Linked DNA regions of Styela clava. Each later gene encodes a partner of the first gene's protein in a complex. Links are inferred from orthologs where the notes say so. Each region holds a gene or a part of one and is shown on either strand. Other genes may lie near its edges. The genes, in order: V-type proton ATPase catalytic subunit A-like and V-type proton ATPase subunit D-like.

Region 1 (17,075 bases):
AACGGTCAAGAATTAACGGAGATATCGGCATTTTAGTACCGCCCGATAGGCCAATTTTTCTCCATAAGGTTAGCATTACGCTGGCTCAAAAACTGTGACCGCAAGAATGTGAGACCGATAAATAACAATTTCTATCTTCGCTATTTTGGAAGGTAATCAAATGAAATTTGGAACGAAAAGATAACGTGAAAATATAAACCAAATAAAACAACTTTACAAATTCTTTTCAATGAAATAACAGTCTTTTTTAATTAATTATGTACAAGAAAATGTCTTAATTTCTCGAAGTCAATAAACTGATTTAAAGCTTCCATATCTGACTGTATTCACTGAACAATTTAAAATCTACCTGCACGTAAGATATTTACTGTGTTTACGAAAACTCAGAACGAGAAAATTCAGCGCCCGAGATGATGTCGACAATTCGGTCGATAACTATCTGCGAGTTGACAGACTCACGCTAAGATAGTATTAAACGTGTCTTGAAATATTTCGTAGCGTTTTCGAAAAACGCTTGCAAATTCTGTTTTTTTTAGAGAATTTTATTTATTGTGGAAAACATTCTATATTAATCTCTAATCTCTCGATATGCGTCACATCTATGAAATATCAAGGCTCTTTCATAATTTAATTCTGGCAACGGTCAATGAGGCCATCGGCGGATTGTCGCAAATTCAAAGTCGGAGGTGGGTATGTTAAATGAACAGTGGTTCGTTCCGGCTAATAATTAACGATGTTCGGATCGAGCAAACTTCACAAAAATTGGCAAGTTTCAAGTTAAGAAAGAGACACGCGTGTCATTATAGATTTTATAGGTGTCATTAGACGGGATCATTAATTTGTAGCACGTTTAAGTTGGAAGGTATTTTTAAAAGATTCGCATGATAGGAAATATTTGCGCTAATGGAAAAATTCAAAAACAAGGTCATAGTCGTGTTTTTTATCTAATTTATGTCAAAATTTCATGGAAACACTAACTATCGCTGGCAATCCGTAGCCGTTTTTATATGCGGTACTCAAGTATGGCGGTAACGGTACCTAGCAGAAGTGATGCGTACATTTTTTATTGCGAAAATGTGCGTTTTGTAACATTCCTACTTGTCGGTCTGTAGATGTGGGTAGTACGGTAACTTTACTTTATTAGTCATGTTGGGTATAAATTTTTGGTTAAGGGTCCATGTACAAAATCCTGAATTTGAATAATCTCGATTTTATCTAATTACATTCCAATTAACAGGTGCTTCATATCAAGTATTTGAAGTGATGTCAGATTTGCTGGATAAGCTGAAATTGTTAAATTTTGAGGAAAATTTCATGAGGCCAAACAACATGAAACCTCTAACAAGGTATTATCAGCTATGAAATGGGTGGGGACTTTCAGAAAATCTTTGGTCAATACTCAAAGGGTTTTTTGACGGTGAAAATAAAAGATTGTGATAATTGTAATCTCGTATTGCAATTTATAAAGTGGGTCAAAAATTTCAGTTTGTAATTTCGCTTCACACATACTTTTGTATAATATTTACAATGATGCTAACAGCAGTCACAAAAATGATTGTACATTTGCTGTTCGAACCATATTTCAGTTTTTGAATACAAGCCATCTGTCTCTTTTTATTTATGACATCTTTTGGTTTGCTCACAGACATTATTTTGCGGTCCCTACAAATCCTGGTGAACAGTTTCATGCATTCACTTCAATTTCTGCCTGGCTTCTTAACATCATTGGTCGTCCATTTGACATGCCACAAGAATTTGATGATCCCAATGCTACTATATCAAGTATATTGGAAGAAGTAAAACGAATGGTATGTATAACAATTTTTTAAATCATAATTAAACATTTTCAATCGTGGAGAGACTAAATATTGTATTTGTGATTTTTTATTCTTTCTTGAAAATTTTCAGGGAGTCGCGATTGATTTTCCACCATCCAAGTTGAAGCAAGGATGTGGAGAATATGTTTGTTATATCCTTGATCGTTTGACTGAAGAAGCATTGAGGTCAAGTAATTTCCAGTGGGGAAGGTAAATATTGTCATCTAGATAATTTCCATTTATTCAGGTGTATCCTATCATAGGTAAACCATTCTCATTTTATACAGCCCATCTTACCCAGAGGAAGCTCAGGAAGAAGAAGTTATACAAGAAGAGGATGCTGCTGAATTGAAATTGGATAAACTAGAAGATGAAATGGCTACAATGGGTGGTGATGATGCATCAGATGAAGAAGAAGACACGCACTTTATGGACTTAAAAGTTGCCAACAAGAATGTATGACATTGAATTTGTATATGAATGGAATTCTGAATTTATAAGCAGATAATCCGATCATCAATTACTTCTTCATCAATGAATTCTTAAATCATGATAATATATGTATTTTGCTGCATATTTAATTTTATGGTATATTTTGCAGAGTCATTTTAAGTTTTTTTTGAATCATGATAATCATTTTAGGATAACAAACAAGTGGATATCTTACAATCTACCACAAATGCAGATGAGTGGAAACTGGAAGTGGAAAGGGTTACACCTTCTTTAAAAGGTGTTGTCAGAATTTTATAAACCTATGATTTGCCACCAAGAAGATATTGGTACTGAATGTCTGATTAGAGTTGGCAAACTGCAACATTTATATTGGAACCCAACATGCATTTTTTCAACTTAGTATATAACTCAATAAGCTGTTGGGTCAAACACATATTTTGAGACAATGATGATTTTTTCAATAAGATTTTCTATATTATTGCTTGAGTAAAAATGAGACTATGTCAACTAATTTTGAATGTATCCAAATATTCGATTCATTAACAACTTTTTTTCACTATGAAGACTGATGCCAATATCCTTTAAAGTTAAATAATATAGTCAGAAAGTTTCAACAATTATTGTGTAATTTACATTTGTGTTTCTGCACACCCAGTAACAATCAGAACAGACAACAAGGATTGGAGAACTCACGTTGATCAAATGCATCATCATAAAGTTGGGATTGAATCATCTTTAATAGAGACAAAGGTGCAGTATATTATATAAAGTGATGGAAGATTTCTTCTAATTTGGGGATGTTAAGAATCATTTGAATTAATTCCCATTATTAAATATTCAAAACAACATCAAAAGTTGAGCATGTCCAATTTTAGAGTAGAACGAACCAGTTATTGAATTTGCGTAAAAAAGATCATGTACTTGGTTTATATAAAAAAGCATCTTCTCTATGCTTATTGCAGTTGAAGAAATGTGGTAATCACATGGATTCATTGACTAAGTAATCGCAATTTCAAATACTCTGTGTATGTTACATCACTGCATTATTTCTTTAAAATGGTATATTTGCTACAGGGCTGAAATAATTCTTAGTTTGTTCTTTGTAAATCATGTTGTGTTTGTGTCCGTGATATTAATATTAAATTCGTTTGTGACTATAAACTTTATAATTTTTGCAGTCTCATCTTGACAAGCTTCACGATGAAATTGGAAGAACACTCGAAAAAATTTCAAGCCGTGAAAAATATATTAACAATCAACTGGAACATCTAGTCCAACAATACAGGACCGCACAGGATCAACTTGCTCAGGTTAATATTCTATCTCAGGGCTACTCAACTATTAAAATTACGACGGTCCGGCCATTCCAAAATATATATTTTAACTATGCAAACACAATCTGAAATGCATAGTTTGACAAAATACAAGAGCAATGATTCGGTGCCGACATGACAAAGCTTCAGTTGTGTAACTCAGCGCCGACTTTGCTGAAAATATTTTAAATATTCGCTCCCATAGCACCCGTAATAATATGTATATTTAAAAGTCTCCCAGTGACTTGAATTATTTTTGAGACTAAAAATTAGGGATATATTAGTTGTGGAGAAGAACGATATTTCCAAATAATATTATGAAATACCACAACGTCTATAGGAATTTTAGCAAAACGATTCACTAGGCGACTTTGTGTTCAATAGCAAAGTTATTTGTTAATCGTTAGGCTGAGAAATTACATTTCTTTGTTGTTGCCAGGCAATAATTCCAATCTTGGTTCTATCAAGTGAGAGTATACTATTTTGCAAAATCGGGTTATTTTTCTATTTTAAAATTTCAAAAATACAACTAAAAACTGACAAATAGCATGTGAAGACACAAAAACAATGTATATTCGGTGGAAAATCAGCTCTCACACTCGTACTATATCCGGAGTCGCGTCTGCGGTTTGATGTTTAAATCCACCATTAGGAGAGTTACAATGTCCCAGCAAACGGACAACAGCCGTGTAGAGCGACGCACGCTATGGGGTGAAATTGGTTTTGGTGGGTTGAAACTAAAATTTCACCAATCCAGTTTTTTCTTTTTTTAGTTTATCCTTTCCAACACGACAAACCATCGTCTGACATTCTTTAGCGTCAGTCCACTGTAAAATATTCATAACATTGGCGAGTGGATGTGCCTTCATAATCTCGCCGTGGAACAGTCTGAGAATATTCAGGTTCAGTGGGGCATGCCCTACTGGGCACAATTCGACAGTGTTTAATACAATAAATGCTTAGAGGCCTATACATGCGTTATATATTTTTTCTAATATTATCATTCGACCCATGGTACAATATGTAATATATTCGAGAATCAAAAAATTGCCAGATTTGGAGTCGAAAAAGAAAATAATTTAATTTGTATACGGATTTTTTTTTAACAATATCTGAAATATTTTGGTTGAACATTGATTCTGTTCTTTAGATGAGAATGCTGATTAATTGTTTATTTTTAAATGCATACTTCGTTGAATTTTGACAAAATGCCCCATTGTGCCCCACGAGTGGAGTACAGTGGGACACTGGACAAATGTTTCTCAAAGCAATCTGGTGGTAAGATGTGTGTCGCAAGAAGATTTGAATAAAAATTACATTTATAAGCCCCCCCCCCCCCCGAAATGTGAAATGATTGTGCAAAATAATTGAAATGAAAAAACTATTGCACAGGGGTTCCTAGAGCCACTGGAATCTTTCATTGGGGTTCTTTACACCAAAAAGGTTAAAAATTACCAGACATAGCTAATATTGCATATGAGCATAATATCCTGTCACTTCATCTAATCTTGTCCTTTGAATGTTTTTTCATATTTTCCACATAACAAGTTTAAACCACAGTCGTCATCAGGAAATTGTGGGCAATGGGTCACACTGATTTGAAAAATAATGCAGTAAGCTGATCTCATTTTTTTAAACAGACGAAAGAGAAATACAGACAAGGGAGTGGAGGAGTGACTCAACATTCCAGAACATTAGCGGAAGTTACAGAGGAGTTGGAAAAAGTTAAACATGAGATGGAAGATAGAGGAAGCAGCATGACCGATGGAGGTATGACATTTGAAATCAATTTTCTATCTTGACATGGAAGCTCGAAATGAGTCCACAATACCGAACTTTAGGCCAGGGCTACTCAACCATTTTTCACCAAAGATCTGTGTACAAAACCCAAAATTATTGGGTTATGGTCTTTTCAGAAAATATATTTCACAATACGCCTAAATTTATTTCAGTGCTTACAGTATTTAGGTTATTAATAAAAAAGCGATCCACCAAGACGTTTATTAATTCGCCAAAGTTCTTTTCGAATAGAGTGATCCAAATATTTAAAACTAATAAAACAACCTCTGAAACTATAAATCAAAATAAGAGGAAACATTCACGAGCCTAATGTAACAAAATAAATTAAATGCGGTTCAAGATCAGGCCCGGTCAGTCAGTTGAAGGCTGTACCGAGTATAGTAGCCTAACATAAGTTTGAAACACTGTATTGCATTTAGCTCCACTTGTCCGTATCAAGCAATCACTCAATAGATTGAAAACGGAATCTACACAAATGGATATAAGAATCGGAGTAATTGAACATATTTTAATGCAGGTATGTCTCCATTCATATGTGTACAAACAACCTGGTTATCTATTTTTAGACCACCTAAACCAAAAACAACTCATAATTGTAATTCCAGGCTCGGATGAGAGACAAAACTATAATGCACAGCAACATGAATCAACCAGATGGTTCTGCAGAGTATAATTCATTCGGAAAAATGTATTAAATGCTGCTACAACATTGTATATTATTATTTATTTCATTGCATGATTTATTTTTCTAGAAATAAGTAATAAAAGTGTATATAACAGTACTGTGTAAAAGTGCAATAATCGAAACAAGCTTCAATATGAGACAGGACAAGTTAATTACTCTTGGGTGTCAGGTAAAAAAAGTCCTGTAGTGAGACATATTGCAATAGAAAATCCTAGGGCCAAGGCACTTCTGTAATATTCAGTCTCGTTAACTATAAATAACATGTTGTTGCTGAGTGTAGTGAAAGCCTGTAACAAACAAATATTGTAGTACCGTATAACATATTGCAACAGAATTAGAAAACATACTATGCTACTTGCAACTATGAAAAAAAACAATTGATACATTATTCAAATTTTGCATGAAAATGATTTTGGATCACAGCCTTTGATTTCTTGTAGGTATGGATAATCTAAGTTTCCTCTATTGTCATCAACTTCTGTGTGTCCCAATGAAGGTGGCCCGCTATCACGAATACATACACAGTACGCATTCTTTACTCCAACCGGTTTGAGCATCCTTGGTACCCCAACCCAGTCCCTTTCTATCCCCCCACTGAAAAACAAAATATTTTAGTAGTATGAAATTGTTGAGCTTTTACAGTTTTCAAGTCACATTTTTAAACATTAGTTTTGTAATCTATTTTGAAACTTTTATTACCTTTTCGTTGAACACCATACTCTAGAACCCGTCTCTTGCGTCCATTCTGAGTTACACCTTGGAAACAACTTTTCATGCTCCTCTTCTTTTGCCTTTAATTTCCTGGCTTCCATCATTTTATTCTGCGCTTCTCTCAATGCTGCAGTAGGTTGTCCATTCGCATCATAAAAATTCCCAATTAGCTTTCCTAAATTGCATAAAATAGAAAAAATGGTCACATATTGGTTATACAAAGAAAAATGAAAGCAAGAGAATGTAAGTAAATACTGGTAATCTTGGGATATGATACTTGGCATTGTTAGCCCTATGAGCATTTTATTAGATTTAAATCAAAGCTTATAGAGCGGTTACCATTAGCTAAAAGTAGCATGTCATTATTCCAATATATTTAAAATAGGATTATGCAACTTACCAACATACGTGTAATCTTCTTCATAAAATGTAACCCAATTTTCATATTCCCCGAAATGTTCAGCGCCTACCCCAGTAAGGTCATCAGTGAGCCCCTTATCAGTGAAATCACCTGTACTATATGCTTTAGTTCCATCTCGACCTAAAAGCAAAAGAAGCAACATGTAGCAATAACTTGTTAATACAAATTGAATATCTACAACTGAGGTTGGATATACTGCTTGTCTAATATTCAAATTATCATCGCTTATATCATCAAAACAAAATTATGTTTTAGTCGACCTAATAACTGATCATGTGCAAGTTAGTTGCTGGACTCAGTGCCACTTCTGCACTTGGGATTGACGGTCAATTTCTACCTTCAAGTTTGACAATGAAATGATGTGATCAAAAGTTTTATTGTCTTTGCTTAGAATCCGTATGTTATTTTGAACAGTATACCAGTATGTACCTTAGAAATTGAAACGAATCATTAATTACTAAATTGAGGATCATACCAGCAAAGAAGTCATATCCTCCGCCAGGTTCATAGAACTTAGCCCCTTTTGAAACATCATAAACTTTTCCTAATATAGCGAGATACAATCCCTTGCTATCCTTTCCACCGCGGTAGTGGTTCCATAGCTCTTCTTTTGTAAACAGCCGATCATTGGTCTTTTCCGAAATTGACGACTTTTCAGAAGCCGGCGCACTTTTTTTGGCAGCAGGTTTATTTTGTTTTTGTTGGAAAGAATCCATGAATCTTGAGCCCGATTCGAAAACATAGGCCTTGGCGGCTTCAATTTCTGTTCCATAATCTCGAACAAAATACCCGATCGCAACACCTAAAACAAGCACGAAAATTCCAGACTTGAAACCCATTCTGCAAAGAGGTAGCCTAGACGTTACCGCAGTTGACTACTGAGACACCACATCACAAATTCAAGCTTCGTTGGCACGTCATGAACTTTGCATGCTCGAATAAACTTCGCTTATTCAAGCTAACATTTCTCTATAATTGATTTGTTGAGATCATGTAATACTTGCGAGAACAGGATTAACGCCAATAATATTGTGGTTTAGGCCTAGGGTACCGGTACCGTATGTGGTTTACATTTACGAGGGTGAAAAGGCAGCCGACCGATGTGCAAAATCATGTTTTTATGCAAGGGTCGATTTCAGTCACCCTATATCAGTTTATGGGAGAGGTGCTTGACGATGTAATAACAAAAACGTTCCCTAAGTTCCAGATGGATAGGGTGTAGAGCAGCTCGTCACGGCGGCTAACTCCCCGGTTAAAAATCTAAATACACTTATCGTGCAACAAAGTTACCGTACCGGTACCGGTACAGAAGCTGACGGTCGTACTTTTTGGTATCCACCTATTTAGTTTTATAAATCAATGGAACCATCGTTTAACGACTTGATATATGTGGGATCGTAACAAATTTTTCATTCTTGAAAAACCAATTGGTTGCACCACATTCATCTTTCGAAGGAAACATCTCTGGTTTATCAGCGGGAGGTCAAAACTCGTGACAGGCATGTGAGAAGCTAATGATGCGTGATCGATAAATCATTCTTATTTAATTTGTTCTTGTGGCGTTAGGGTTGCGAAGATCTGAAGATCAGTGCCGGACAGCCGGTGATTTGATTTTAAAAGCAATTCTAAGCAAAATGCACGAGTAAAACAGCTGGCTACGCACGTTATATAGAAAATAAAGATTGGGACTGCACTTGATGCTTGAGATGGTGCTGAAGTGAGAAATACCTACAATCCAAGTTTCGCACTGCCTTCGTTTATTTTTCAAAAATTATTCGTTAGTAATGTTTACGTGGACTACCGTAGGCTATATTACAATATTAGTGTACCGGTATGTTGGCTGGTTGACCTAGAGCTGTAGAGTAATGAATGTGGTTTGATTAAAATCTCTACCAAATACTGAAATAGATGAGAATTGGGGTTTTGAGGTTTAATATATTGAAATTGTAGTTATCTTTATTGTTCATTACTGCATTATGTTAACGCGAGCTTATTCCATGTGTGTTTAGGTGAGTGAACACGTACGGTTCTCTTCTTCTTGGCAAAATCTTCCATCTTATATTCTGAACTTTTTAAATCTTATGTAAGGTCTGAAGGTGTTGTTTGCTCTCCTGATTTCATAATCAGTTTTTATTCGTTTGCTTTTAATAGTCTTATTCTAATATCGATTGTTCGTAGGTTCTGACCATATAGTGTATTTAGCGGTGGACACTTTTTGTGCAAAGATTCAACTCTATTAATCTTTATTCGGAAATCATGGATTTTAACAAACTCCCCAAAATAAAAGATGTTGAAAAAGAAGGAATGCTCGGAAAAGTATTTGGGGTATCTGGTCCAGGTAAACCCCTCTAATACATTTTACTGTCTAGAATCAGTACATCTTCATCTCAACGCTTTAGAAAATAGTTTTGGGAAATCTGAACTGGAAATATTTAATACAACTTTAGTTTTGGCGAACTAGATGAGTTTCAATAATAAGTCTTACTCTCATTATGGCATATATATTTTCAATCTGTAACTACATTACTAATATTCTATACTTTATCTTACAGTTGTGATAGCTCAGCACATGTCTGGCTCTGCTATGTATGAACTTGTCAGAGTTGGTCGATCTGAGCTTGTTGGTGAAATTATCAGACTTGATGGCGACAGAGCAACAATTCAAGTATATGAAGATACGTGTAAGTGAAATATTTCAAATTGCATGAACAGGAATAACTTTTTATTTGGGTATTACAAATTTCATTTCATTGGTCGGTACTCCCATTGTATGTGTACCAGGTTAGGGTTAGGCCATAATTTTATTCAGATTTTCCTTATTTTAGTTCTATCACGAGTTCTGGGACTGTCTGCGTTAGCCATGTGAATATCCCCCTGCCCATAGGTTCCAGTCCCTTCACACAACTTGATGTAAAATGGGCAAACAAAATCCAAATTGGTACACATACTTATGTAGCGCCCATAAGTGAACAATTCTCCTGCACATTATCATCAAAAAAATTTATTGAAATATATACATTCATTTTTCAGCTGGGGTAACTGTTGGAGATCCTGTATTACGAACTGGGAAGCCACTGTCTGTTGAACTTGGTCCTGGAATATTAGGTTTGTTCATGAGTATGAGTGACTAGTCAGTTTTTTGTCTCTTTTGAGGTTTGAATGAGTCTATATTTTTGTATTTGTAAATTTGTGGTGCATCAACTTAGCAAAACGACAGAACATAGTACTATAATATAAAGCAGGGATGGCGAACCACTGACCCGCTGGTCACAAAGTGACTGACCCGCCAAGGCACGAATAAAAAAAAAGCTAACATATCAGGGATAAAAATTGATAAAACCGGCCTTAAATTAATCTAACAATAACTATTATAATGTACCATCAATTGGGCAAGGCCGCGATCGCTCATATTCAAATTGGTAATTTTCAGGTCGGTATGGTAATTTTAAAAACCACTAATCTTGACTGCATGTCTGCACCGATGTGAACCGTTATTCAGCTCTGACATAGTTTATGACATAACAATGCCATTGATCTGTTCATTTCTCGCAACGTCTTGCCTCTTTTGGAAGTGCAGCATCTGCAGACTGTTTCAGGGGTTATTTGAGAATTAGATGCTACTTTGAATTTTATTAGTTTTTCGCCTACAATGCCGTTGAAAAAACGAAATCTTTCAGATCTCAAATAAAAATCTAGATATTTAAATTAACAATCGGGCAGTGTAAAAGTGCCTTAATGTGGTTGAAAGCTGATTGAAAAATATAACACTATCAGAGTGTAATTACCTACAAATTCTTTGGAACCGCGAAATAGTTTGCCGCATCATCCTAAACGTTTTTGGTAATTCATATGCGTGTTTTCGTACTCGTAACATAGGTTTAATAGTTGTGACCCACTCCCTTCTGTTCCGCGATAAAAATATAATTTTTGACCCATTCATTGAAAACGGTTCGCCATCCCTGATATAAAGAATTACAGAAATAAAAAGATGATTTTTGATCTCAAAGGAAGGGCAAGTGTTCAAAGAGCTTATAGAAATGTCACACCTTTTTGATTACCTATATTATTCTTATTAACCAAGAATTTTCAAAAAGGCATTAGAAATTAGAGATGTATCGGTATTTGACATAGATATTGGCGTTATTTCACTAGTTTCAGATTGGAATTGGTGAGAAAAGTTGAATTGGTACATCACTATTAGAAATGGGGATGAAACATGAATGCTTGATATTTCTATTGAGGGATGTTCTGTGATTCTTCTTTTTTTATTGTTGTTCAGGAAATATTTATGATGGAATTCAACGACCTTTGCGAGATATTAAGGATTTAACAGATTCAATTTATATCCCAAGAGGTGTCAATGCAACTGCACTTGATCGTAAAGCAAGATGGGAATTTGTTCCTTTGAAAAATATCCAGGTAGATCAGATTTCGTTTTATTGAAATGAGCGTGGAAAATATGAAAAGAAATCTTTGCTTTTAATAGACTATTCACTCTGATATGCTCTTAGGCAGATCTATACAATTTCCGGTGCTCCCATAGTGTGTGAACCAAGATAGCGAACACCGGATTGTAGTATGTGTACCAGGTTAGGGTTGGGCCATAATTTTATTCCAATTTTCCTTATTTTAGTTCTATTACGGCTTTACGGGTTTGGGACTAAACAAGTGACTTCCGTAGTGTTTGTACCTGAAATTATGGCTAAACCCTAACCTGGTATGCATACTACGTTCTGGTGTCTGCCATCTTGGTTCACATACTACGGGAGTACCCAATTTTAATTTAAATACTTTAGTCAGTATATATTACAAAAGAAAATTATATCAATATGAATGTAAGTCACTACTATTATCATACTATTTGTATTATCTGAGAAGGAACTTCGATTTTCAAATATTACTGGGAAAGTAACTTATATGAAGGATGATGTATGATATATTTCGTCATGATTTGTAAAAGCAAAGGCTTGTGTGTTTGAGCTTGAAATTTTTATGCTTTAAATTTATTGACTGTGCGGAGGATCAATACAACACATTTTCAAAGTATTGACAACTTGATTGTTGATTCATTTCCTCATTTTGCAGGTCGGCAGTCATATAACAGGAGGTGATGTTTATGCAACTGTAGTAGAAAATTCACTCTTACAACAAAGATTGATGTTGCCTCCAAAATGTCATGGCAAAGTCACTTACATTGCAGAACCAGGGGAATATGATGTCACAGTATGTGGTTTTCAGTTGCATTTATTGATCTGTCGAATTGCATTAATGTGCTTTTAGTAAACCTGAAGATGAATTAAGTTTGTGCGGCTAATGAAATTTATCCTTGAATTAGAGGTATTTTTGTCATGGTCATGCTTAGATATCTCACTATATGTAAATGTCATAACAATTTATTAAATATATTATAGTCTATAGTTTTAATGGTAGTAATTAAATAAAAATACAATAAAATGTTTGAACTTGGAAAAAAATCAAATCAATACTTGTCACTATCTGTATGGTAACGTAATATTGATGTATAATATTACAAACCATCACAAATACTCACTGAAAAGCGAAGCTCCATAGTATTCATTGGTGCCACTCACACTTTTCGTATTGACAGGATGTCGTTCTTGAAGTTGATTTTGATGGGAAAACATCTCAATACCAAATGATGCAGGTATGGCCTGTACGTCAACCTCGACCAGTGTCTGAAAAACTTCCTGCTAATTATCCATTACTTACTGGACAGAGAGTTTTGGATGCTTTATTTCCGTAAGTCTAAATTAACTGGCAAGCAGCAAACGATGTGGCACAGACTACAGAACATTAATTACATATGTCTAAATACAGGCACACTTCATCAGGATGGTAAATAGAGATGTGAGGTTAACAAATATAAATATAAAAATAGACTGAAACTATATATATTCGATCTTGTTTTAGATAGATTTCATAAATGCATTCCAATTGGTGGCTTTTTCGAATATTGTTAGATTCTTATTAGTTGTACTTGTTTACTATAGATAAGCCATATCGAAATAGTTTATTATTCTAGAATTTTTGTTGTATTCAATTTTAATTACCAAGTATGCAAGAATTTAGGTTGACTGAAGCTTTAGTAAAAGCAACCAACCAACAAATCTAATGTTTTATTCTAATATTTGTTTTTCTTGTTTCTTTTCAATACAGGTGTGTTCAAGGAGGCACTACTGCAATTCCAGGTGCCTTTGGCTGCGGAAAAACTGTAATTTCACAATCTTTATCCAAATTTTCAAACAGTGATGTTATTATTTATGTTGGTTGCGGTGAGAGAGGAAACGAAATGTCTGAAGTATTGAGAGATTTCCCTGAAGTAATTTCTTCTTGTATTCATTTGTGGAAAGGAAAGACAATCAGATAAATTAATTATATGACCAAACATGGATTATACTATTCTAGCTATTCAGCTATCTTCCCAGACTCATGGACTTTGATTTTGTAAGAAGTCATACCTGACCATCTGTTACAGCGGTAATATTCAAACATATCTTCATCCTCGAAGGATTCGAACCTGCAAATCCAAGTAAAGAAAATAACAGTTTGATGACAAGTTTTATTCCTCGCATAGCATGATGGGCCACTGCTAATCATCGAAACTGTTTGACAGACAAATCTGAGAACATTTGTATTTTTTAATATAATTTAATATAGTGTTTCTGAAGTCTATTTCTATAAAAGAGTATTAATTCCATTCCTGCAAATTATCTTTCATTTCTGCTTATTTTTATATTATTTTTTATTTTTCAGCTCACGGTTGAAGTTGATGGAAAAACTGAGTCTATCATGAAACGAACTACACTTGTTGCTAACACATCAAACATGCCTGTTGCCGCTAGAGAATCATCTATATATACTGGTCAGTATTTAATTTAAGGTACTCCTGTGGTATGTGCACCAAGATGGTAGAGTCATTCGACTAGTCCTCAAACTCGTAATAGAACTAAAATTAGGAAAATTGGAATAAAATTATGGCCTAACCCTAACCGGGTACACATATCACGATCCGGGTCCGCCATCTTGGTCCACATACTACAGGAGTGCCTAATTTAGTGCTGGAAACAGTCAAGTTTGAGACAATTTTTTTATCACAGGTATCACACTGTCTGAATATTTCAGAGATATGGGATATAATGTTGCTATGATGGCCGACTCCACATCTAGGTATGTTTTTTATTTTGTGATATTGTACATTTCTCTTTATTTTCATCCTCCATAATTATGAATATATGAGGAAAAAAATCACCAGTTATTGCGATTGATAGTAGATCTAACTTATTGACTAAAAGTCTATTCTAAATGCATCCTTCGGTTCTTAGCTCATGACTCGTGAGACCTATTCAGCCAAGAAAAGCATTAATATTCCTTGTTGTCGAAAGTGGTCTCGCATCAACTGCTGGATTGACCACGGATCGAACCTGCAATGCCAACATGGCTTGTTCAAATTGATAATGATAACTACTATATTTACCTATTAATCAGCTAACAATTGAATAGGATATTAGCTGTGGAAAATTTGTAGAGAAAAGAGTAATACTGTGATTGGGTAATTTTCATTATTTAAAAAACCATATATCAAAAGGTATTCACTTGTAACAACATTGATTAATTTTCATTTTATTTGGTGCATAAAAGGTGGGCCGAAGCTCTCAGAGAAATATCTGGTAGACTGGCAGAAATGCCTGCAGATTCTGGCTATCCTGCTTATCTCGGTGCTAGACTTGCTTCCTTTTATGAAAGAGCTGGTCGAGTTAAATGCATTGGAAATCCTGGTCGAGAAGGAAGTGTATCTATTGTGGGAGCGTAAGTACCTCATACTAGTTTTCAAAGTTGATCAAAATAGCAGCTCATTTATTACAAATGACATGATTCAAATGGTCTAGATGGCGAATAGCAGACAGCAGTTTGGTGTATGTTTAAAACATCTTATTGGCTTTTTTTCTATATATATATGAGATATGATCATATCTATAAGCTGCATTTCAATCTACTTTAGGAAGCATCTTTAGTTGCTAGTTTCGTTGCTTTAGTTTTCAATATTCGAAAAAAAGGCAAAATGTCTTTACAGCAGCTGTTTTTATGATTTACTGTATATGAGTTTTCAATTTCCTTTTTTGCAGTGTTTCTCCTCCTGGTGGCGATTTCTCAGATCCCGTAACATCCGCCACACTTGGTATTGTTCAAGTATTTTGGGGTCTTGATAAAAAGCTGGCACAAAGAAAACATTTTCCGTCAGTGAATTGGCTGATTAGTTACTCCAAATATATCAGGTAATCTCATGAATGTTAATTCGATTGTTGTTTTATTTGTTCATTTTGCCTAGTTTTATGCTTTTTGAAGGACCTACAGTTTATATCCACTTAGTTAGAAACATGCCTATGCCTGCACCACTAGTCACACTTCGTGGTTTTGCAGGTTTAAATCCTACAGGGGATAATTATGTACAAGTTGATTGCTGGATACCTGCTGCCTCACGGTTGTTCACCTAACTGTGGGTCAGTTATTAAGATCAGAGATCATCATTTCTTATGATTGATCTTTCATCTCCCTTAATGTGGATATGAATTTATTATCCTAAATTATGAACTTATGTTGATGATAAATTGATTTAAGGTACTCAAAGTGCCAAATTTGTGTAGAAAACATGTTTTAGTTTGTAGTTTAGCCAAGCACAGGTAATGGTTCATTTATTATACCAGACAAATTTTGCTACAATATCATATCATTAGTTGTTGGGGCATATTTGCATGGATTAAACTGAATCATCATAATGCTAAAGCAGGAAATTGCGGGATTGTAGTTTATATTTATCTGTTTTTACATTGTCTTTATATGTCTGCATAAGTAGAAGAGAAGGATTAATACCTCATTAGCGAACTATCAATTGATGTTTATTTTTAGAAATTGATTTCTTACTTACAGAGCTTTAGAAGAATTTTATGAAAAAAATTTTCCGGATTTTGTGCAACTTCGAATGAAGGCTAAAAAAATTTTACAAGAGGAAGAAGACTTGTCTGAAATCGTACAACTTGTAGGAAAGGTAAGTTATAGGTAGTCATATGGAAACTTTTAATATACCATGTTTTCACTTTGGTCAAGGATATTATACAAGCAGCAAATTATGTGTAAGTAGCTCCTATTTGGAAGAACTAGAATCATCTGGTTTGGCGTTGCATCCAAGGTGAAATACTGGGCATGTAGTTTTCAACTGAGATCTTCTATCTATGATGCATAAGAATTTTGTGTTTTCCATTTGTAAATATTCTGTTGAAGTGTAAAGGTTTGTGCTTCACGACACAAAAAGATGATTAGATGAAACAAGTTTCTTGAAACAATGTAGAAATAAAATAAGTTTTGAATTATTTAAGTTACCATACCGTATACTCTGCTATAAATTTTTAATAAAACTCGTTATAGCGCTTCATTCCATATATAAATATCGTTTTTGTTTATATTTCGTTGAATATGTCCTTACGTTCTACAGAGTTCATTAGCAGAGACTGATAAGATCACTCTTGAAGTTGCCAAACTGTTGAAAGATGATTTTTTGCAACAAAATGGATTTTCTGCTTATGACAGGTGGGTGTCATTGATATCTAAATTCAATCGTGTAGGGCAAAATTTTTCCAAACTTATTGGGCCGTGGACCCCTATTTGAGAATCTTAGTTTTGATAGACCCCCATACTGAGCCGTATCAATGTCTGTGCCTAACCAACGAGGAAGGATGATGTTTCATTTACAAAACAACAACATAAACGACATTAATGTGATTGATGAGGTTGCTTTTTACTGCACTATTTATCAATTCTGGCTGACATTCTTTTCATGTCGTTGCGGAACCCCTGTGCAG
Region 2 (16,578 bases), on another chromosome or scaffold:
AACATAATAACAAAATTATTCATATATCCACTCCGTGTCCAAAAACACAGAATACATCTAGGATTCTAGGCAACCAAATATACCCTAAAATCGCACGTTTCAACACAAGATAAACGACTTCCATCGACAATTTACATAACCTTGAAGGTTGCAATGCTGTGGTAGTTTAAGACCGCTGGTCGATTACGGATTCCTCCACCATCAAATCCATGCTTCTGAAAAGAAATAACTGGCTAACTAATCCCGTACCCGACATGGACTGGTACTCTTACGAGAGGCCGTGGTCCGCCACATGATTAAGCCATGGTTAACTAAGCCATCTTATCGGTAATCCTCTCTTCCCCCGGAAAAATATGTAAATCATATCCTACAGGTGCTTGTATAACTGACCCAAAAAGTCTTTCATTGTCATTGGTAAAAAGGATATGCTACCCGCAATTGAATTCCTTTACGACTAGTGCTACAAGGTTGGTTGATTCTGATAGTACTACAAATGTTGATCTAGGTAGGGCATGGATATAAATCTCACCACTTCATTGTTAAATTTTACGAAAATCCCACAATTAGTACAAAGCTGGTACAGGGTGATGAAAAAAGGGCTGGAATATATATTACTAACTTTAGGATATCGCCGCCGAAACGATCGCGGTGACAGAAACATCCGGCGATTATGATGAAAATATTCAGTAAAAAACGCTCCGTTGCCGACTTTTCAATGTTTCTATTAATTTCCAAAGGGAGAATCTACCTCCGACGTTCTGGACCCATGTCGTGTATAAAAAAATTATTCGTTATTCCACTATCAGGTATTCGTTAAAAATATTCGATTTTGCCCATAAACTTGACTTGACAAAGTCTGTCAAACTGATTCGATGAAATAATATAAAACATTTACCAAAAAAGTTTTTTTCTGAATTACGGTAATTAAATAAAAGAAACTGTTGGTCAGGGATGGCCAATACCGAATAGTTCACTATTTCGAATACATTCGAAATTATTATTTTCGATTATGAAATTTCGAATACTTCGAAAATAAAATCCACTAATTGAAGCTTATCTAAATGTATGTAGGAATTTCCATACAAAGAGCAATGGAATAACTGCTATCTACAACCTAGCTATATTACCAGGCATTTCATATTTGCAGATTATTGCGATATATATTTTATATACCATGAGTCATGTTAACAGAATTAAATTAATACGGCAATAGTGGTATCGGTGATAGATTTGATAATTTGCGCAACACAAAATCATCCTAGTAAAACGCCCATACTTTTAAATACCAATCATTATCCAAATTATTTGCCAAAAAGCGGGATAAAGTACGAGTTATTTTTCCGATTTGTGACAATGAGTTACGTTGAACAGAATTAAATTAATAAGGCATGACATTTTTTCAATGCTGGTACCAGTCATGGATTGGATTATTTTGCGCAACAAAATATCATCCTGGTGAAGGATCGATACTTTTAATTTTCGTTATCATGATTATTTGCAGAAATTATTTTCTAATAAATCGACTTGTTTTTCTAACTTGTGACAATTTATTGGATATCGTAACAATTACGGCTAAAAATACCGTATTTCCCGGCTAATAAGTCTACATGGCAAATGGCATCATGTTAGTTTGGTAGAATCATACTCACAGAATTAACTATTTTTTAACAATAAAGCGGTAAATTTAAGTTGTGAAGCGGAAATTATTTTGGACAACCTATTAACCCGAATGTTGAAATAATTTTGGAAGTACTACACTGTACGTGCACGGGTTATTTCACAGCTGTGTTTTCCTGTCCCTGTCGTTTTCTGCTGAAACGACAAAATGAAAGGGTCACAAATCATTTTATCTCGGTGGCGGTGTTTCTCTTTAAAGTAACGATAACCGGCCTGCGATTAAATATCATGATTGGCAGACCCTAATACCCAAATATAAGGTTACACAAATCATGCCTGAGAAGACTCATGCAAATAATAAGCAGGCCACATAGAAATAATATAAACATACTTTCTCAATTAGACGAAAAAAAAATCAGGTCGAAAAATTGGGCCTAGAAAAACGACTTATTAGCCGGGAAATACTGTGATTGTCAATTTTTCGACTAATGGGAATGAATTTGTAAATTAACTCGTAGACGAATGTCGGCAATGTCCACCCATGCAAATGTGTCGCAACACTATGCGACGTATGGTCGCACAGAATATAAACAATCGAAGTGCCGACTCTATTTCATCGTCATTACAATACGCGAGAACAGCGTAAAAAGTCGTTTGAAGATTCCGGTAAAATGAAACACCACGTTTACGGCGAAAAATGGCTACTATTCGGAATTATTCGAAAATCAGCCGAAAAGGTATTCGAATACTTTGATATTCGATTCGTTTTGGACAACCCTGAGTCTGTTGCCATTATCACAAGCTTGTAATAACCAGGGATGGCCAATTCGAATAAAGTATTCGAATGTATTCGAATATCTCATTATTCGAATATCGGAATTAGCGTTCATAAGAATATCGGATATTTGTGTGACGTTACACATTTTCGACGCCGCTTTCAAGACGTTCCCATTGAATGAAAACATTCTCGATAAAAACTTGCGCGTGATTGTTTTCATCACTCATCAGCGTAACGTGTTATTTAGGCCGTAAACACCTTTACGTTTGTGTTATTTTCTCTAAAACGAAAATTTTCCACAAATTTGTTCCACGATAACGATGACAATTATTTTATTTTTGTACCCGCACGGAATTGGAATCTGGTAAATACGTTCATTGACGGTGAGTTTCTAAAGACAACGCAACTTTTTGATTGAAAAGCGGCAATTTAAAATACTGAAAATAAAACCGTATACAATATAAGTTTTATTGAGGCCCGCGAAAATTTAAAAAACGCTCTTTTAGGCAGTGAAAACCGCAAAATTTCGTGTGCCTCTGGCACACATTATGTTTGGTCAGCGTTTAGAAACATATCGTCACGAATTGAGGGCGGGATTTGCCTGATTATCCATTACTTTAAATTGCCGTCAGATATTTTCGTGTTAACATGATACAAGGTTTGAAACGCGACTTTTTCTCGGGTTGTGAGTAGGGCTGGACATTTTTGAATACCTGATGATTTCAGAATCGAATCGAATAATTTTTTTCGAATCGAATCGAATCTCGAATACTTGGAAGGTATGAAATTGTATGTAAATTTCTTAGTATTTTAGGTCCTCCAGACACATAAATTACTGAAAACATAGAATACATCACTGACAATAAAAAACACGTTTTCATCAATACCTCAATACAGAGAAGAGTCATAAGTCAGAATTGTGTTGAAAAAATATGGCTTCAATGAAAATAAAAATTGAGAAACTTACCTCGACCCTTGGCAGAAAGAGTAAAACAAGATGGCGGCGATTCGAAAATTTGCTCTAAACCGATTCGAATAATTTACTATTCGATTCGAAATGCCCAGCCCTAGTTGTGAAGATGTACCGATATATAATATAATCAATCTAAAGTATATTCAATCAATTTTATTGTGATGAAATAAATTTTACTCTGAGATGTTACAGCAGATTTATGGATTTTTCGAACGGTTTTATCTAAAAATAATCAGAGTGGCAGCCAGCAGACCACATATGGGAACTATTTCACGCTTCAGTGATTCGTCTGCGATTCAAATCCGTGCTATCGGTCAACAACATCAGACCACCTATCGAGGAGGTTTGGAAGTGAGCTGCACTGGTCTTGCTCAGTTGCCTCATCCTGCTACTCGAGCCTATCGCAGTTACGTACGTTGATCGAAGGGGTATGAAAGTTGTTTTCCTTTTCATCTCTGGTAAGTGAGTTGCTTTTTACAACAAATAAAAATTTAACCAGATAGTGCAAGTTTAATTTAAACATCTTCCGCATCTATTAGGTCGCTGTTGAATCCAAATGTGAAATACCGGTACCTGTACTGGTGGGATCCCGGTGCGGCATGCTGGGTTGTTGTTTTGAAATAGAAAATAAAATTTTAATGTCTAAAGATCATTGGTAGGAACTGAGCGCAATACGACCTATGTTGATAAACTTCAGTTTGCATTGAGGAATTTCACCATACAGCCATACCTCATCTTAGCAGGCACCGGTAACCTAACTGTACATACCGGTACAAATTCAATGCTTCAGTGTCGGTAACGTCGCAGTAGTAGGGCGATATTAAATAATGAAAGTGCTTCTATTTACATATGATGATTATGATTATGTTCGATTGATAAACTATAAATGTTTAAATTTGGTTCTCAGTAGATTACTGGTAACTGTAGGCCTACCGTAATTTTTTGTTAATGGATCGTGTGACATAAGGTGCCGTTGAACGCTGAACGGACGGCCAAAATAATCCAACTCGTCTACCTTTTATGCCTTTAATTAATTTGACGTTTTGTTCTTAGATTATGAGCAAATTTCAACGGGAAAGCAACACCTCATCTTATTCTGCAAATAACTTCACAGAACTTCAATCAAGAACGTGCATATAGTTTTGATACTTTAATTAACATTTGTATTGAAAAAAAAATATATGCAGTGTTTGCAAATCTCGACTCATTTTCTTTAGTCCGGCAGCTCTAAAACTGTTCTCTGATCTCGTTAGTTTAGACATGTAATCGAGGGCGCTTAGTGGTCTCCGAGACTACTTTGACATTTCCGAATCGAACCGGTTCTCTGGACTGGTTTTGATGGACATGTAATCAGGCCTACTGTTAACAAGTACATCTAAATATTTGCCGAATTCGCAAAATACGGATCAAAACATTATTTAATCGGGCAGTTTACCACACGTTTTTATTTTTATGACCGCGACGCAACCGCAGGTTAAATTGAAGACAATTAAATTATTAAAGCAAGACATTTTAAATATGCCCGTATCGGTCACGAATTCATCTCTTTGCACAACAGAAAAATATATATTCGTTGTTATATTATTTGTTGTAAAAGTCAACTCTTTTAACAGGTGGCATATTCGCGGCGATGAATATGTATTTTTAATTTACTGCTAAACCTTATATATATGTATATTCATTGTATGAAATGAATTATACTCTACACTTAACAGGATTTTATATCATTATTTGAAATTTTTCTAACGGCGATAACGAGTTGGAAAGATTGCAAAAATACGTATTAAAATTAAATACATCAGGCAGTTTATCCCGTACTTTTTTAGGTCACAGATCGCCGTGGACCGAATAGTAATGTTTGTTTTTTTCTGACGTAAGAATAAGCAACCGCGAGTTACGTTGGACACATTAAATTAATTAATTAAATTAATTATTAAATTAAATCAGATATTTTAATTTTAGAATCTCGTAGTTGTCACGGATTGAATATTTTACGTAACAGGTAAACTTGCTGGTTGCAAAAAAAACACCCGGCAATTCAATGGCATTAGTAATGTAACAATATGTCAGAAGATGTTTCTGGTTATTTTTATGACGAAACAACATCAAATTCAATTTTTTGTTTACCCTTGCGCAAATGCGACGCGGGCCACAAAAAATGAAGCAGCGGGCCTGGGTTTGGACCACCCTGCACTATACTATCCGTCATATTGGTTCACATACTACCTTTATCTTTATTTGTTACAGATTCACGGACTTGATAGTAGGGCAACCGACCGACCACCTGCTACCCAGGAGTCGGCAACCTTTTGTCGCTCGCGGGCCAAAATTAAGGGTTGCAAGTCTCGGCGGGCCGCACATACGTTTTGAAAGTTGAAAACGGAACAGCACGCGGGGACTGCGACAATTCATGAACTCAACTCAGTCGTCTTATTAAAAGAAATAAAATTACAAATGACATTTAATGTGACACTGTCTTGTTGCTGCATCACGCTTGATATTTTTTCGACATCACACTGAATGAAGCCAAAATTGGAAATTTTCTAAATGGGCATCACTAATCCAAGTTCTCTTCTAGTCCTTTCTAATGATCATTTTCCAAAATAATTGTTTGCACACATATATACTTCCAAACATCGAAGTGAATTTTGTCGTATGGTTTGTCAAATTTTGATAGAGATTTTTTTTAAGAAGATACATTTTTATATAAATTAAGCAGTGATGCATCTCCCGAACGAATTATGAATTTTATTTTCTCATTGCATTGTATCTCAAGGAGCTTCATTTGGATATTTCCTGCACTATTTAAACCCTGCACTCAGCATCAACTCTTTTCGTGTTGCCATTTGTCTAATTATAATTGAATTGTAGGATCGTTAAACGAGTAGCTATTCACTAAATTGCTACCTTATGATATAATTTTTTTAAACGTGTCACACGATAAATTCTGTTACAGTAAAAAATATAGTCTACTCCTCGAGCGTAGATTATAAAATTATCTCACCGTCAAAACCGCCGTTTTGTCTTTATAATTCAGTGGAGCGCCGCGTGCCGAATTATTTTACTCGTAGGTCGTAGGTTTCCGACCCCTGGTCTACGCGAACTACCTTACGGCGAGTGGAGTCCAGCAATCATCTCGCGTGTGATTATCGCCCACGGAATGCAAACCTGCGAATGCACGCATAGTACAGTAGGCCCTAATCAAGTTCATGATGCGCAAGCCGCCGAACAAATACAGGTTTCGCGAAATTGCCCTCATTCAGCTTTTTCGCCCACTTCGGTATCGTTTTCGCCCGCTGGGGGCGATATCGCCCACTTTGGGAATCACTGGCCTAAATAACACGTCACACTGACGAAGACAATCGGCGATTTTAATAACAAAAGTAGCGCTGTGAAAATTCCAATTTTGCCAACGTAACTGAAAATAAATTCCGTTAAGTACGTGCAAGCCTAACGCTTATTTCAATTGTGAATTCACACCGACGACTGTTGATATCGAAGAAAGTTACTGGTACCCAGCAGCGATTATGCGCACAGCACACACTTATTCAACACATCCACTTACCGACGTACCGAAAAATATCGCGCGGCGACGTTGCAAGTTTTGCACACTGTAAATTACGATTAACCGAAATTGGAAAATGCTATTCGAATACAGCTCTAAACGGAAACGATAGGGGCAGCCCTACCGATCACCCATTTTCTTACACCATATTATTTCCGTACCAATATGGCGCACAACCTGATCATAATATGCGTATAATTTTCGATATTAATGACGTCATCGCACAAAAAATTAATCTCATGGAAGCCACAGACAAAATAACTAAATGTAATAGCCTTCCAGCGAAAATTAGCCTACAATGGGTCCAGTAGTCGTCAATGAGAGAAGCGATTTTTTCTTACGGTAACACGAAGAAAAATTCTTACAACATAATAACAGAACGATCCATATGCCCATTTCTTGTCCAATTAATTTTGTAACTTTCAATAAAAAGTTCGCCATACATTATTAGACCACCACAGCAAATGGGTAATGTGCGCCTTAGCGGACGAATAGTGTTCTATTGGGGTTTCGGAAGTGTAAGATTAATGTAGATGCCATATTAAAGTAATTTACGTTGTTACATACATCCATTTTTTGAAATTAGGAAACCTGTTGTTAGTTCGACACAAAAGAGAGCAAATTTATAATGCAAAGTGCGCCTTTTATAGAGCACGGGCAAGTCAAGTTTATTTTTTCAACTAACAAATAATCAAGTACCGGTATATATATACAAATTTCGAGAAGAAAAAAAAACAGTTCAACTGCGGAATAGATGCCGCGGGAAACCAAAGCTATTAATTATCTAACAAAGACATCGAAGCTTACTTATGTGGCCATTTGGCCCGCAATTCAGAAGAATCGCCCACCCCCGTCAAAGTTACAGTATAATAGATTCGACGAGATGGGGAGGATGTTATCGGAGAATTAACAATCGCACAGGTGGAGTTTATACTGTTATTATTCTTACAGTTGATCATAAGTGATATCAGTTGGACTAATATTCGCTTATTGGACAGAGTGGGATGTTATTTTTTCAACTTTGATTACATATAGTCCTATACTGTACTCAATTATCCATTCATTCCGAAGGCGTTTTGTGCATGTAAAAGAAACCGTAGTGCTAACAATCAACAACGCAATGTAGTATAGTATTTCTACAATATATTCTTACTATCACCTTCTGCCCACAAAATACATTTGAGTTGAAGACCTGTGTCATAATGGCAGGGAAAAGGCGAAAATATGCATGGTCGATAGACGAAAATATTGCATAGAGACTGAGGTAATCCGTGTATCTTCGAATATTAAATGATACACGAGATTCATAATGTCGTAGCGCTAAAATATACTAACTGACAAAATTTTTATTTTGGGGTTAATGGCATTCAATGAACACTTCGGACCAAGTTTGTCGTGTTATTGGTGTCTTTAATTAACGTTTTTACGGGTCATAACTTTACCACATGACCTCATAATCACGTGACCTATAATTTTGTTTATATTTTCTGCTGTTTTACAACAAACTGGTGTTGTAGTCGTGCTATTCTGCGTGCTTCTTTCCGACTGTGAGCACATTTTCATAGGATTGTAGGAAGATAACAATCGAAGAAAGATGTCTTCAAGAGACAGGATTGCTATATTTCCATCTCGCATGTAAGTCCTGAATGTTCTTAGAATCCAGGTCTGTCTTGTCTGTTCATTCCATCAAATTTTGAAGTGAAAATATTTTGCTTTAGCATTCAAAAGTTTTTAGCACCATTTAGGTCATGTGACAGACTACGAAAGTCACAATTGATTGTAAATTATCATCAAGACGAGCATGGCGCTATCTGATGCATCTGCCGTCATGCCAGATGCCCTTGCTTCAGACAAATAAAGTGTTTGTTTTATTAAACTAAATGTCAGGACATCTTGGCCAGTTTATACCGAATTAACTTTGTGTATATTATATATATTATTTTGTATACCATTGTTCGTTTACGGTTGACAAAACAATAAATCTCTCTCTCTCTTGGAATCGAAGAACTGTGCCATACTAGTTAAAAATACAGAAGTGTGGTGCTAAACCTTAATATGTAAAATTCTATCCTAATCTATTGTCGAATCAGTAATATAAAATGTTTGCGACCCTCAACAAATATCTTGTAATTGTTGGGTTATATAAGAGTATGACCCAAACATCAATTAAAACTTTCTAACATGAAGTGATGTAAAAAATGTAAAAGAATAGACTTGGTTGGTACTTGGCTAATAACAATTGTTAAAAAATGTGAATAGATTTACAGATTTTTTTTCATCATCCACCATGTTATCAACTTCCTGTCTGGGTGTTTGGGCATAATGCTACAGATATACCAATCAAAAAGTTTTCTCAGTATTTTTATATATCAGTAAACCAGAAAATACTGGTTTATCAGTATTTTTAAAAATATTGTATCATCATTCTAATTCTAATCACAATTCTAGTATTTGACCGCTTTGATTCATGTATATTTGTATATTTTACTGTTTGCAGGAATCTAACAATAATGAAAGCGAGGTTGAAAGGTGCTCAGAAAGGTCACAGTTTATTGAAAAAAAAGGCCGATGCCTTGACAGTTCGATTTCGTGCCATATTAAAGAAAATTATTGAGGCAAGTCAAATATATTCCTAGAAAATCATGGTGATCAGAAATGTGAAAGATTCCTGAAATAATCTGAAGATAATTCGATAACATGTTCATAAAAACAATTTTTTTATGTTTATAATGATTCTTATCCAAACACTTTGTTACATCAATATTAAGTTTACTTTTTCAATCGCATATTGATATTCAACTCTAGGTAATTTACTAACATTTTGTCTTAATAATAAATGCATATTCAGTGCCCCAATAATCACTTGCATCTATTCTGTTATCTTTTCAAAGTGAAAGAAGTAAAGTTTATCATTTTAGTAAATATTTTCTGAACTGATGTATATTTTTCTAATTAAGTATCATGCATCATAGGCAAAGCAACTTATGGGTGATGTTATGAAAGAAGCTTCATTTTCACTCGCTGAAGCAAAATTTACTGGTGGTGATTTTTGTACAGTTGTTTTACAAAATGTTAGCAAGGCACAAATCAAAGTTCGAACAAAGAAAGAAAATGTTGCAGGTAAAAGATCAAATAAGATATAACCAAATTACTGATAATAAAAAACTTATAATAAACATTCGTAATTACAGGTGTAAATATACCAGTGTTTGAGCATTATGAAGATGGAACTGACAGCTATGAACTGACAGGATTATCGAGGGGTGGTGAACAATTATCAAGGTTAAAAAAGAAATATGCAAAGGCAATTCATTTATTGGTTGATCTGGCATCTTTGCAGGTATGATATTCAATGACTGACAGTGTAAAATATGGACTGGCATTCAATTATTTTGTGCTTTGTCGTGTCTACAGATTTAAAATTACGGTAATGCTGTTTGAAGTTGTTGTGGACCAAAAAAGTTCATTTTTCTTTTTGTAACATTTGTTGGGAATCTTCTGTAAAATAGTTCAATTTAGATTAGATAGAATTGAGTTAGTCTGCAATATGCAATTGTAATATAATTTTAATGTACGGCAGGTTTGTTGGAATTTTGTATTTGCCACTAAAAATGGTCCTGATAATTGTTGGATGGATAGGAAGCTTTTGTCAATAAAACCAGAATTGGGTAACAAAATAGCCTTCATAAACTTCTTTATCAAACTTTTTAGACATCCTTCGTTACTTTGGATACTGCAATCAAGATTACTAATAGAAGAGTAAATGCTATTGAATATGGTAAGATGATTGAGTAAATTAAAAACAAGACAATTTAAAATGGTTGTTGATTTAGCCACAAAAAAGTCTGGCTTTAAGATCGATGACTTTTAACATCTTTTTATTGAATGGAAATCAATATTCATAAGGATTTTGTTGAAAGGGATGTGTTCGCTTATCTAATTCGACTGTCTGAATGTTGCTGATGTTTAATATACAGAGTGACTCCCAAAATAACAGAACCCATAAATTTCTAAATCACTTCTATGAGAATGAAAAAAAATAAGTTTAAGTTGTATAGGTCGCTTTGCACAAAAGTTATGTTCTTGCTAGAAAATTATCCAAATGACCTCCTGGGAGTTGGAGATAGACTCGCATCCAACATGCAAAATTGTACCTTCCTGTAAATGTAATTATTCACTTTTTGTGAATTAGGATTAACAGATTTTTTCATCCTTTTCAGTTATTATTCCACGAATTGAAAACACTATAGCATATATCATTAGTGAATTGGATGAAGGAGATCGTGAAGAATTTTACAGACTTAAAAAAATTCAGCAAAAGAAGGCTGTTGCTAAAGAAAAAGAAGACATTGCTCGAAGAGCTGAAAGGGAAGCTTTATGGCTTGCTGGAAATGATGAGGTTGATAGTTACACAGAATCCAAAAATATGCTGGATGATAATGAAGATGAGGATTTGCTTTTCAAATAGTTGTATTGGATTTCAAAAGTATATTATGAAGGTTGGAGTGATTGCTTTCCTTGGTGGTGCTTCATGGCTAGGACCTCACACCAAGGAAGCATCTTTTTCCGTTTTGATCTATCTTTTTTCTGCAGATTAAGTTTATGTGAATTGTGTTTGTCAATATATATACTTTTGATTGATTGTGAGATTTCATATTAATGTGATTGATGTGTCACGGGCCTATTATCCAATCTATTGTCAATTAAACTTATTAATGTAATCTAGCTAATTGTCCACAGGTGAAGATTCTACCATATGGGGACCAACTACTTTTGTGATGTGGAAAGAATATATATGTGTGTATATATATATATATTCATCTGTCGTCAAATTTCATTACGCCAATAGTAGTGTCTTTTCGGATTCAGTCTTTGTGCAATATTGCAAAAATCTTGTTCAAAATAAAATTCAAGATTAGAGCACATATTCTACTAAGTGCAGCATGTTTTTGTGTATGGCCTTTTGGGGGGATAGTGAAAATGCTGGTGCCTCCGGTGGTCAACTGATTATGTATCCTTGTTGCGGGCCATCCACATTATATATGTATATGGCGGAATGTCAGGGAATTTGGTCTATTTTGTACTTTAGGAAACGTCATAGGTATTGAAGTTGAATCAAGATCTCATCTGTTTCTACACATATGGGTGGATTAAGAGGATTTTTGTTTATAACTGTAATTTTGTTATTAACGTACCATCGAATAGAAAAACTAATCAGCGCAGCGCTAAATATTTATATGCTGTTTGGTTGCTATTTTTACCCCGCATTTGCGTCTTGCGTGAAGGTTGTGCACAATCGTCGATCAATCACTTGCAACCGTTTTCGTAAATCCTGCCCTTTTTATGCAATTTGCCTCGTTTGTATTTCCCCTTCTCTGGTTTCTATAGCGATGATTTAATCGTTCGGCGGAACAAAAATAACCTAAAGACACTCTTTTTTTATCCACAAAAAATGCCGGATTTTCGGTTAACTTGTGCCCCAAAAATAAATGGAAGAGGTCATCAATTGTTTTCTTGCAATTCCCAAATGAGTTTGAATTCACCAAGTACAGTTGGAGATTGGTCCATTTCAAATTGCTTTGTATCAGTCAGATGAAATGAATCAACATGACTGACGAAACTTAGTTGGTCATTGCAACATGGTCCGAAACGTTCGTGTTAACGCTTAGGATTTACATATTTATCCCGGAGGAGAGGAAAGCCGATAATACGGCTTAACCATATGGCGAACCACGGCCTCACTTCCGGTTACCATTCCATGTGGGGTATGTGCTTAATTAGTTATTTGTTTTCGGAAGCATAGGCTTGATGGTGGAGGAAGCCGTAACCGACCAGCAGTTACGTGAACCACCTTACGGCGGCGAGGAGTCTAGCAATTCTCTCGCACATAATTATTCCCGCATGGGATTCGAACCTGCGAAACCACGCAGGGTAATCAGAGGTGCGGTGCCGAGCGTGTTACTAACGCTAAGCGCGACGAGCCACACCGCCGCGGTATTTAATTAATAAGTCAACAATCAAGTTACAACATATCTGGAAAAATATGAGAATGTAGCCTACTAATTTGTTTTGTAACATTTCCATCACTCGAATTTCAAAAGAAGAAACATTGTACCAACATTATGGTGTGTGGGATACATGATCAAGCATGTTCAGCTTTTGATTTGAATCGAGTCCATCAGTCCAGTGGTTCTCAACCTGTGGTACGCGTGCCACTAGTGGTACGCGGGAACTTTTTAAGTGGTACGCGAGCAGATTTGAATTATTGCAACGATTAACATTTCAGTTGGCTAAAATAATATGCCGGCAACTCTTTATCTTCCTTACTGTAAGTATTCGCTGAACAGCGTTTATGGATGTTTCCCCAAGCATCAGTTTCCTTGTTTATTTCCGTAACTATAACTAATCGGCAATTAGTCATTAATGACGCAACACGTAACGATTGCAATTTCTGCACTCAGCCGCTCAGACATTTCTGTCGCTCAAACAGATATTCAAGCATGGTTGCAAATATTGCCTCATTTTTGTAGTTTTGAGTGATATTTGTCAGTTTTCAGTTGTGTTTCAAAAAACTGAGCTATATTAATTAGTACCTGCAAACGGCACATCGTTGATTAATTTTAATAAAAATTATGGTTCCAAACACGTAAACCAGTTTATGTGCGCCAACATACCAAAACACTCTCAGAATAAGCATATAGTTTGCAATAGTAACGTATAAGAGTATTTTTTCCGGGGTGAATGGTCGGGGAAACGTCCATAGCGCTGGTGCGCTATCGTTCCTTGCCCTTTGAGATCGCCCTTGCCCGCTATTGCCCACCTTAAATGAAGCGATATGGACATGTTTTTGTTCTTTTTGCGTGTTACACCACAAAGGATGTAGTGACACATTATAAAATACACACATAGCATGTTTCTTGTGTCTTTTTCCCCGCGTAAAAAAAAGAGCTTTGTCTGTGGTATTTTTAACGAATTTAAAAGCATTTCATATTTCGTACTGGTGCTCCATACATAATACGCGACGCATCGGAAAACTACACAATAGGCTACAGACAAAAATATTGCGTTATTTCGAGCAAGAAAGTATCGAATGCTAAAGTATACAGTACGTTTATGAACACACAAGCGTTCAATTTATATACTATATCAGGGATGGCGAACCTTTTTCAATGAATGGGTCAAAAATTATATTTTTTTCGAGGAAGAGAGGAGCGTGGGTCACAGATATTTAATCAATGTTTGTATCTATAAGGAACTGAAACAAGTCTGATAAGCTTCTGTTGGTGATGGTGTAGTTTTGGGCTTCACTTATGCAGCACTTCTATCAAGGACTTTTTATGGCATTCGATTTTATGAAAGTAGAGTACGAAAACACGCATATGAATTACGTTTATGATGACGCGGCAAATTATTTTATGGTTACAAAAAGTTTGGAGAAAATTCCACTCTAATAGTGATATTTTTCGACCAGCTTTCAACCACCTTAATAGGGCTTGGGGCCTCCGCGATCTATTCGTTTACTTGAAAACTGTCCTCGACCTACTGCCTTATCTCCCCCAACCTCCCTATTCTCGACCCACTACGCTATTTTCCTATCTGCCCAACTTTCCTATCCTCGACCCACTGACCCATCCTCGAACCACCACTCTACCTCCCTAAACCGTTCTCTTCTCGACCCACTGCGCTATCTCCCTCAACTTACCTATCCTCGACACACCGCCCTATCTGCCACAAGTTAACTATTTTTGACCTACGCTGCTATACTATTCAGTACCTGACCTAACGGCGCTTTATTTACGACCCGATCGCCACATTGAACTTAACTATCTTGCGACCAACTTCCATGGGTTATACTGGTCGTGTATGCCAATGAAATGATTCAATCGTACGTCGACAAAACATGATTGACGGCTTTCGTATATGTAGGCTGGAATATCAAATGGTAAACAATAACCATAATTGGCAGTTTAAAAATGTGTTACTAATTGGGCTATTGATGGTTTCTTGTTGGGAATGACAGTTTTCTAAATTTAACCAAGCCGTTTTATGTCTTTAATAATTGGCCATGTCGTGAGTCTTGTGACAATATGATGCTGATCCGAAATAAACAATAGTGCTCTGGTCCGTGTAAAGTATTTTTCTTCAACATTTTATAGTAAAAACGTTGCCAAAGATGACGTACGAACTGCGTCCTTTGCAACCTCATTAAGTTGCAGATAAGATAAGCTCATTTTTGGGACTATACGCTGAATTAAAGTGCAGTTGGAAACGCTAGCTACGACAAAACATTTCATGGCTTAAAAATCATTTGGAGGGGTTAGCAAATAGGGTTACCATATTTGAAAAAGCAGAATTCCGGACAGTGCATGACTATGTCGCACAACCTTAGTCCTAACCGGTACACAAAAACTATGTTCAGGTTGTGCGCCATCTTGGTGCACATACTTCTTTCAGGAGGTCCCTATTTTCATGAGACCATATATATGCGCTACCGAAATGCTAAGGCTGCAAACTTGTACGATACTCATGCTAAAGCGCCAGCTACCGAAATGAAAAGTATTGTCTTCAGTCACAAGCAGAATCTCACACCAGGCAGGTAAGCACACTCTAAATATAGCTACGGGCCGTCGACTGAAAAAATCTCAACTTCAGAGTGAAAAATAAGAATGAGAATTAGATTGTGCCGAAACGGAAGAACAGCAATTACGTGCTTAAAACAAATTAAAGACAATCACTACAAATTTACTCTTCTGACCATGCATATTTTTCTGAAGATCTCATTCTCTCCTTGTCTGATTTCAAAAATGAAAACAATTCACTACAGTGCATATCTTTGAAATTATATTGGAGAGTCAACATGCCTTTTATAGTCGCAACTTGTTTCTCTCTTTAGTCCACTGACTTTGCATCAGTGAAATGACTCTCTCTACAATATTGGCATTGTGGGATGTAACAGCAAAGAAAAACAGTTCAATCCTTAAAATTTCGGAGTGGCATGTGATGTTCGTAGACTGATCGAAATATTTGCACCATCTCTTATGCGTTGGCAGTTCAATAAATTCTTCGTCTTGTAGGTAACTTTCCACAAACTGCTTCAAGTTACAGACTTGGTCAAAGCATTTATCATCGTCCACATCAACCCGTTTACTAATCAGATGTTCCAGGGCCAGGCAAGGCTTTACATCAGAGGTCGGCAAACTTTTGTCGCTCGCGGGCCAAAACCAAAGGTTGCAAGTCATTGGCGAGCCTCATATTTTTAGTATGTTGAAAACCGAACGAATACCCGATGAATCACACTTTTTCACACAGATCAGAAGGTAAATTAAGAGCAGCGCACGAAGACTGACCATTTGAATATTTTCTGCACCATTAAACCATTTGCGCTAAGCATCAACTTTTCTGCGTTTTGTTGCCATTTGTGTAATTATAATTAAATTATAGGGTCATTAAACGCGCAATTGTGAATTATATACTTGTTAGGTTATAACATAATTTAGCCTACGCGTGTCGCAAAATTAATTTTCCGGACGGTATGGCAACCCTAGATTACACTCACTGAGCGACTTATATTTTTGACTTTTCAGCCTTCTCAGTCACGTAAAAAAAAATGTATATAGAACAGGATATGGCAGAACATACGTTGAA

What was found.
Region 2: the proteins of V-type proton ATPase catalytic subunit A-like (region 1) and V-type proton ATPase subunit D-like are in contact, whole or in part, in a cryo-EM structure (PDB 9B8P), measured with the Rattus norvegicus proteins. The link is inferred for Styela clava from reciprocal best matches to the Homo sapiens genes ATP6V1A and ATP6V1D. Residues at the interface, in NP_001101788.1 of Rattus norvegicus: Ala366, Met368, Pro369, Ala370, Asp371, Ser372, Asp416, Ser418, Asp436, Lys438, Glu491, Gln494, Leu495, Val496; in NP_955418.1 of Rattus norvegicus: Lys4, Asp5, Arg6, Arg167, Ala171, Val175, Ile176, Arg179, Tyr186, Glu190, Arg194, Glu197, Tyr200, Arg201, Lys204, Ile205, Lys208.

The regions. Positions count from the first base shown.
Region 1 is NC_135253.1:4,231,792-4,248,866, forward strand, and holds the start of V-type proton ATPase catalytic subunit A-like, read left to right. Parts: upstream 1-9,334; 5' UTR 9,335-9,456; coding exon 9,457-9,538; intron 9,539-9,752; coding exon 9,753-9,881; intron 9,882-10,230; coding exon 10,231-10,305; intron 10,306-11,479; coding exon 11,480-11,619; intron 11,620-12,285; coding exon 12,286-12,423; intron 12,424-12,808; coding exon 12,809-12,960; intron 12,961-13,377; coding exon 13,378-13,540; intron 13,541-13,974; coding exon 13,975-14,083; intron 14,084-14,318; coding exon 14,319-14,388; intron 14,389-14,859; coding exon 14,860-15,027; intron 15,028-15,344; coding exon 15,345-15,494; intron 15,495-16,146; coding exon 16,147-16,264; intron 16,265-16,708; coding exon 16,709-16,803; intron 16,804-17,075. Other genes in the region: intraflagellar transport protein 57 homolog, read left to right, coding at 1,238-1,346, 1,646-1,808, 1,909-2,027, 2,105-2,273, 2,460-2,547, 2,926-3,020, 3,449-3,580, 5,224-5,353 and 2 more; neuferricin-like, read right to left, coding at 6,458-6,662, 6,768-6,954, 7,180-7,320, 7,676-8,039. UniProt on the Homo sapiens protein: Catalytic subunit of the V1 complex of vacuolar(H+)-ATPase (V-ATPase), a multisubunit enzyme composed of a peripheral complex (V1) that hydrolyzes ATP and a membrane integral complex (V0) that translocates protons.
Region 2 is NC_135255.1:8,110,249-8,126,826, reverse strand, and holds V-type proton ATPase subunit D-like, read left to right. Parts: upstream 1-8,409; 5' UTR 8,410-8,527; coding exon 8,528-8,568; intron 8,569-9,430; coding exon 9,431-9,548; intron 9,549-9,905; coding exon 9,906-10,053; intron 10,054-10,124; coding exon 10,125-10,273; intron 10,274-10,644; coding exon 10,645-10,711; intron 10,712-11,153; coding exon 11,154-11,401; 3' UTR 11,402-11,860; downstream 11,861-16,578. UniProt on the Homo sapiens protein: Subunit of the V1 complex of vacuolar(H+)-ATPase (V-ATPase), a multisubunit enzyme composed of a peripheral complex (V1) that hydrolyzes ATP and a membrane integral complex (V0) that translocates protons.